Linked DNA regions of Cricetulus griseus. The protein of the gene in region 1 interacts with the protein of each later gene in a pairwise test. Links are inferred from orthologs where the notes say so. Each region holds a gene or a part of one and is shown in the gene's direction. Other genes may lie near its edges.

Region 1 (3,647 bases):
CTTCTGCTTCTATCAGCTACTGGGTAAAGGCTCTATGATAGCATTTAAGGTAGTCGTCAATCTCATTATAGGGGAAGGGCATTTAAGGCAGCCTCTCCACTACTGCTTAGATTCTTAGTTGGGGTCATCCTTGTGGATCCCTAGAGATTTCCCGAGCACCAGATTTCTTGCTAAACCCATAATGGCTCTGTCCTTTTCTTGCCCTGCTTCTCTATTCTTCCCACAACTCAACCTTCCTGATTCCTCATGTTCTCCTCCCTCTTCTCCTTCTCCCCTCTTCTTCCTTTTACCTCCCTTCCCCTCCCCCCAGTGCTCCCAATTTGCTCGGGAGATCTTGTCCCTTTCCCCTTCTCCGGGGATCAATCCACGTATGTCTCTTTTAGGGTCCTCCTTGTTTCCTAGCTTCTTTGGGGTTGTGGGTTGTTTTTTGTTTTTTAAGATTTATTTATTAGGTATAGTGTTCTGCCTGCATGTATGTGTGCAGGCCAGAAGAGGGCACAAGGTATCATTACAAATGGTTGTGAGCTACCATGTGGTTGCTGGGAATTGAACTCAGAACTTTTGGAAGAGCAGGCAGTGCACTGAGCCATCGCTCCAGCCCCTCCATCTTACTTTTGAGACAGGATCTCTCACTGAGACTCAGAATCTGCCTGTCTCTGCCTTAAGGCCTGGAATCACAGGTACATATCAATATTTTGAAGAACCATCAAACAGCTGAGTTGTATCCTGATAGACTTTTCCCCCCCACTTTTGTGTTTGCTTTTGGTTTTGTTTTTGATGTGTAGGATGTCATAACACAGCCTAGAGCAGCTCTAGCTCAGACAGTTAACAGAAGAGCCTTTTACAATGATCTGCATGTTCTTTTTCCATCCAGATGTACTCTGAGGGTAGATGAGTGGAATGTGGTAATCTTGGAGGAGGCTGTAACTATAAACCTCAGAGTCCTATTATCATGAAATTGACTATTTCTATTTTAGCCACACATGGTGGCAAATGCATGTAATCTCAGCCCTCAGAAGTCTGGGGCAAGAGGGTAGCAATAACTTCAGGGACAGCTTGGGCTACAAACTGAAAACCAGGCCAGCCACACTACAGCATATGGGTGGTGGGCGGAGAGGACAGAGAAGAGATAATGTTTTATCATAAAGGCACATAGACACTAGTGGTAAGTTTATGAAATACTTTTATATTCTGTTCTCTAAAACATCTATGTTGGTTTTAATATGAAATCAGGTTGGTAATTATTCTCTAGAAAATTTTGATATTCTACTGTTCACTACTAGGGATACAACCAACTGCCCACTCTATTTGCAGATTTACAAATACATGACATACTTGGTATATACAAATCAAATAAAATAGATGGTAATTTAAACATTTTTTATAAAATTATTTTACGTTTATGAGTGTTTTGCATGCATGTATGACTATGCCTTATGTGTGTGTGCCTGTTGCCTATGGAGGTCAGGAAATGGCATCAGTCCCCTGGAACTGGTGTTATGGATGATTGTGAACTTCCTTGGGTGCTGGGAATTGAACCCAGGTCCTCTGGAAGAGCAGCTAGTAATACTCTTCACCACTGAGCTATTTGTCCAGCCCCAGACTATTGTTTTTAAACGATGTATATTTAATTAGTACCAGTGTCCATTTGAGTTCTTAGGCTTAGATTCTGTCTTTACATTGTGGAATTAAAAGTACCATTCTTTTCTGCCTTATGAATTTTCAGCTTTCAGAGAAGGGGAAGCCATATGTTGACATTCAAGGTTTAACTGCTTCTACCATGGAAATCCTGTTGGACTTTGTGTACACAGAAACAGTACACGTGACAGTGGAGAATGTTCAAGAACTGCTCCCAGCAGCCTGTCTACTTCAGCTGAAAGGTACAGTTGAGAAAAGGTATCCTTGTTCCTGACACATCAGCCCTGGAAGTGGTTTTCATGATGTAAAATTAATCAAGACTTTCAGAGGCCCATCTAGAAGCATGACTTTTGAATCTCTGAGCATGGAAGTCAGGTGTATTTAAGAGCAATGCAAAAGACTCTCCAAATATGAGTATTTGGCTCTTGGAAAAGAAAATGTTTAAACTTTTTCTATTTTTGAGAATATGGAAGGACCAGGTGTGATGACTAACACTAGTTATCCCAGCACTTAGGAAGCTGAGACAGGAGGATTGTGTGAGTTTCAAGCCAACTTAGTCTACAAAATGAGATTTATGTCTCAAAACCAAGCCAAAGGGCTGAAGAGATGCCTCTATGGTTAAGGGCATGGACTGCTTGCTCTTCAGGAGGACCTGTGTTTGAGTCCCAGCACCCACTTGGTGGCTTACAACTATTGGTAACTTCGTTTCCAGGGAACCTGATGCCCTCTTCTGGGCACCAGGTAAGAAAATGGTGTACAGACACACATGTATGCAAAGCACCCACACATAAGATAATTAAGCAAAACAGAAGAATGGAAAATACAGGGATGTCCTTAATACATACATGCAAGCATACTTGCATAGTACTCATGTAAGAATTGCCAAGAAACTGATAGTGTTCATTTCCTGCAGAGATACTGTCCACTTATTTACCTTGTCATTAGGTGGCTATGGGCATGGAGAGGCTAAGAGGACTCTTCATATAAACCATTTTATATCTTTAAGTCTTTGAATCATGTGAAATATCTTTTTTAAATTTTATTTAGTTTATTTTTATTTTTTATGCGTATAAGTGTTATGCTGGAAAGTAGGACCTTTGGTGGCCACAGAGGTCAAATGTCAGAGCCCCTGGAACTGGAGTTATAGGCAGTTGTGAGCTGCTTTCTGGATGCTGGGAACCGAACATAGATTATCTTCAAGAGTGACAAATGCTTTTAATGGCTGAACCGTCTCTCCAGTCCCCTTGTTTGTTTTTGGGTTTTTTTGAGACAGGGTCTCATTATGTAACTCTGACTGCCTCAAATTCTAGCATAGCCACCTGCCTCTGCTTCCCAATACTATAATTAAAGGCATGTGCCACCATGCCTGACTTAAAATACTTATTAGAAATAAAATTTACCTAGCACTTGTGAAAGAGAGGCAACATGGGCTATATAGGTAGACCATGTCTCAAAAAAAGTAAATAAAATAAAATTTAAATCGATGTATAATAGTTAAAATATAATTTTCACTGCATTAGAGATGGCCTCCCTTCCAGTTTCTAGTCTATTTTTATGTGTGTGTGTGTGTGTGTGTGTGTGTGTGTGTGTGTGTGTGTGTGTACTTTTTCTTTGTTTTGGTTTACACTGTATAGAAAAAAACTGGCCCTGAGCTGTATCCCAGGTGTTCCTAATTCTATCTTCTTGCCTCAGCCTCTTGAGTACTAGGATTGCAATTGTGGTCAAGGACTAGCCAGTCTGTTTCTTTTAACCGCCATTTATGTATATCCACATAAATGAAACATTCTTGCTGTTGTTTTGTTTTGTTTTAGATGAGTCTCACTGTGTAGTCCACGCTGTCCTTGAGTTACTGATCCTTTGTATTCTTCTGAGTGCTGGGATTACAGGAACAAACCATTATATCCAGTCTACATTCTCCACTTGTAATATAGATTTAAGTAAAATGAAACACAATTTATATTTTATAAACAGAGTTATAAAATTAAGAATTAAGTTTATGCAAGATGTTG
Region 2 (4,097 bases), on another chromosome or scaffold:
TTGCCCTCTGGCAACCCACTCTGAACTTTACTGCCCAGAAGCTCTCACCCTTAGATGACTTTTAGAAAGAGATGGGGCAAGCTTTTTCTTTTCTTTTCTTCTTTCTTTCTTTTTTTTTTTTTTTCATCTTGTGATCATTGCAGAATCCCTGCAACGGTGTAAGAGTGTATCTATCCTTTATCAACTTTCCCTTTCCCTTTGTGGTAGCAGCCCTGCCAACCTAACTCAAACCAATCACCTAGGAAGTGAGGAATGGCCCCCATCATGCTGGTCTGTGGGGGTTTTCTTGATTAATGATTGATATGGGAGGGCCCATGGCCCTGTGGGTCATGCCACCTTTTGGCCAATAGTCCTGGGTTGTATAAGAAAGCAGGCTGAGCAAGCCAGTAAGCAGTGTTCCTTCAAGGTCTCCCCCTGGTCCTGCTTGAGTTCCTGTCCCCGACTTTCATAGAAGATGGACTGATCAGGAAGTATAAGTCAAAAAAATCCTTTCCTTCCCAAGTTGCTTTTGGTCATAGTGTTTACTATAGCAACAGAAAGCAGACTGGGCATCATCTTTCAAAGCAACCAGACCAGATCACACCAGACCCATGAAAGCTAGTGATCTTGGGCCAGGAGGGGCAATGTGCCCATGTGCACACACGTGTTCCTGGGTGTGTGAAGCTCTAAGCAGCGTGATGATACCTTCTCCTGCATGTCAGCACTTTTTCAATTGTTCGTCCAAATACAGTGCTTGGCCAACACAGGCCTGGTGATTTAGGGAGGTGCTATCAAAGTTTACTCCTGAGCTAATAAAAAATAAAACATTAAGCCAAGTGAGAAAACAAGATTAAAATCTCCAGGGAATCATTAACTCAGTTAAAGACAAGCTGCTTGCAAATGCAAATTCACTGAGTGCAGTGGAAAAATTTTGACAATCTCAGGTCCCACATCCCCATCCCAAGGAGCACTTCTGCTCTGCTTCTTGTTTTGTTTGCAGTTGCAGAAACGAAGCCCAGGGTGTTGAATGTGTTGGCCAGGGGACCTGGTCCTGAGTCCCCACCCTCTACTCTCAACCACAAGAGTGAAGAAGCATCCCTGAGCAGACCTTGATCTCTCTGCTCTGACTTTCTCTTGGTCCCTGTGTAATTCTCTCCCTCTCCCTCTCCCTGCAATACTGCCTCCAGCCACACCACCCTGGGGAACTAGTGATGAGACTGTCCCAGGACAGGAGCGGGTGGGGCGATGATAACACAGGACTCTAGCATTCTCATGCTTCATCACAAAAACCATATCGAGCCAGGAATCTGACACCAGCGCTCTGATAACATCCACCGGGACCCTAGCTCCTCCCTGAAGAGGGAGGCCTATTAAAAGAGGCTATAAAAGGTGTGGTGGGAGGGAATGGGCACTCTGCAGAGGCAAGAGGAGTACAGACAGCTGCAGTGGGCTAACCAGAATGGAGGGCAAAGTATACAAGGGAGGTGAGGACTATGAACAAGAGTTTGACCCCCGAGACTACCTGGCCACCTACTACAACTTCGACTCGGGCCCAGTGGCAGAAAAGGAAATCATAAAGTTTAGCCTGCAGAACCTCTACCAGACCTTCTCTTCGGGTGAGTGGCTAAGGTCCCCTGGGGGAGGGGCTGGAGCAGTACCAATGTGAAGAGCTCATTCTGTATATACAGATGCTACAGCGGTGGCCAGCCTGGCAGCCCACAGATGGCAATGTGTGTGGGTCCAGAGGAGCCATGCCTTGAGAGCTTGCAGCCATGGTCAGCTTCAGTTGCCTCACTTGTAGAATGCCTCACTTGTACCCCCAGATTTGTGGAGCTTCTAGGACACTTCTGGGAGAAGTGACAAAATGAGCCTGAGCACCAAAGCTGCTCCACCCTCCTCCTCTGGCAGAGGCCTTTCAGAGAGCTCTCTAGAATTTCTGGGACATTGCATTCTCTGGAAATCTGATGAAAATTCTTATACACACAAACATACATGTAAACAAGCGTCCAGAATTTTCCCCCGACATCTAAGGTGGGGGAGACTAAAGGTTAGCACTGTGGGAAGGGAGAGGGAGAGCCATTAGACCAGCAAGAATAAAGTATAATAGTTCAGACTTCTCAGTACTAGGAGAGTATGCTCTGTGAGATCCTGGAGGTTGTTTAGCAACACCACAGCCCCCCCCCAAGGGAAAAAGGGGCCTTCTTAACTAGACATTCTGTGCTAAGGAAGGTGTGGCAAGGGGCTCCCTCAGAATACAGAGGAAGGGAGGATACATGCTCCTGGAGAAAGCTGGGCAGAGTACAGGCACTGATGCTTGGCAGGGGCATAGCAGGTGTAAGAGGGGACTGCAGAAGGGAAGGGGCGGGGCTTAAAGGTGATACCCTGGTGCTGCCCTTGTCTTCTGATACATGGCTATCTTTTCTAGTATACCTGAAGGGCTCTTAAGAACACACTGGATTCCTTCTCAACCTTTATCCCAGACCCTGTCACTCTGTCGATATCTCCAGTTTTCTAAATCCACTGTTCTTAGAGATAAGCCAGTGTCAACCTACCAGCAATCAATCCTAAGTCTATCCAGAAGGTCAGATGTGCTTCCACTAATTTCCTGGGAGGGTTTTGAGAATGCTAGCTATACCCCAGTCCTAGCTTTGCTCCCCACTCCTGTCAACCAGAGGCAAGAGGCTACTGCCCTTCTCAGATGGCACATCCTAATGAGGCTTGGAGTTCCATGCTCTCAGCAGGACCTGCCCATTCTGTCTCCACAGGAAGTGTAAGGGGCGATCTCCTGATTGACATTGGCTCTGGCCCCACCATTTACCAGCTGCTTTCCGCATGTGAGGCCTTCCGGGAGATCATCGTCAGCGACTACACTCCACAGAACCTGCAGGAGCTGCAGAAATGGTTGAAGAAGGAGCCCGGGGCCTACGACTGGTCCTCCATAGTGCAGCACGTGTGTGAGCTGGAGGGAGACAGGTAACTGCCCTGTGTCGTCCATCGACCTCATCCTTCTCAGACAAGGTCACTCAGGACAGCACAGGGACCATTACCCACCTTACTTTCCTCCTGGTCTGCCTGCACCTCATGAACTTATAACCCTGCCTCTGGGTCTGTCCCACCTCTAGTCCCAAGGCTGCCCCAAACTGTCTGACCCTGCTCTCCCTTTCTCTGTACCTGCTCAAACCAGCTGTGACACTAGCTTCTATGTCACCTCCTCCAGGAAGTCCTGACGACTGTCCCAGTTCACACCACTCCTGCTTTGCTCTGGAGACTGGTTCAATGTCTCCGTTGATGCTGGCAGACAAACTTATCATGGAAAGACATGCTGGGAGGTATACCCCACACTTGTCCCCTCAGCACTGTGACAAAGCCCCAAAGACCAATTAGCAGTGGTCTTCTGCAGGCCCTGTGTCCACTTTGGTTCATAGAGGGTATTAGCCCCAACTGAAGCTGCAAGAGTCAGTGATTCTGATTATACTGCTGGGGAAACTGAGGCCCTGGCTTAGAGACAGTACTCTAGCCTTCCTCGGAACAGGGTAAAAACAAGTCAGTATTTCTGCCCTGATCTTGGAACAGAGGACTGACCCTGACCACCATAGGCTGTCCTGGCTAGAGGGACAGTAATTACAGGGGCCTTAGAGTTAGTCCCGTCGGGGTGTCACTCACTCTCACTGTGAGTCAAGAGCACACACATCCAGGAGGAGGGAGCCCCATGGAGCTCCTGTTACACGAAGAGACAGCTGCCATCATTGTAGCCTGAGACAGGTAGTGTGAGGTGAAAGGACAGGCTACAACAGGGACATGAGAATCCTCTTCTGAGCTGAAGGTGACCTCTCCCAGGAGCTGGGGCGCCTGAGGGAACAAGGACCCCATCTCAGGAAGACATGGCCAGGCATCAGGGAGGGCCACCAAGGCCACAAACGGGCACCCTCGAGAGGCTGTGATAAGAGTGACATAGTGGCAGAGCATAAGTGTTCATTGTGTGTGTGAGTGCATGTGTGGGTACATGTGTATGTGTGCGAATGCATTTATGTTTGCAATGTGTGGACGCAGCATGAATGTGTGCGTGTCAAAGTGCATGTTTGTTTGTATGTTAACATGTATATGTGTGTTATGTATAT

The links.
Region 2: the proteins of Klhl12 (region 1) and Inmt interact in binary tests that used the Homo sapiens proteins (3 or more experiments, as listed by UniProt). The two-hybrid records come from large-scale screens. The link is inferred for Cricetulus griseus from reciprocal best matches to the Homo sapiens genes KLHL12 and INMT.

Annotation. Positions count from the first base shown.
Region 1 is NC_048598.1:54,777,631-54,781,277, reverse strand, and holds part of Klhl12 (kelch-like protein 12), read left to right. Parts: intron 1-1,726; coding exon 1,727-1,880; intron 1,881-3,647. UniProt on the Homo sapiens protein: Substrate-specific adapter of a BCR (BTB-CUL3-RBX1) E3 ubiquitin ligase complex that acts as a negative regulator of Wnt signaling pathway and ER-Golgi transport.
Region 2 is NC_048601.1:86,142,201-86,146,297, forward strand, and holds the start of Inmt (indolethylamine N-methyltransferase), read left to right. Parts: upstream 1-1,215; 5' UTR 1,216-1,438; coding exon 1,439-1,595; intron 1,596-2,744; coding exon 2,745-2,952; intron 2,953-4,097. UniProt on the Homo sapiens protein: Functions as a thioether S-methyltransferase and is active with a variety of thioethers and the corresponding selenium and tellurium compounds, including 3-methylthiopropionaldehyde, dimethyl selenide, dimethyl telluride, 2-methylthioethylamine, 2-methylthioethanol, methyl-n-propyl sulfide and diethyl sulfide.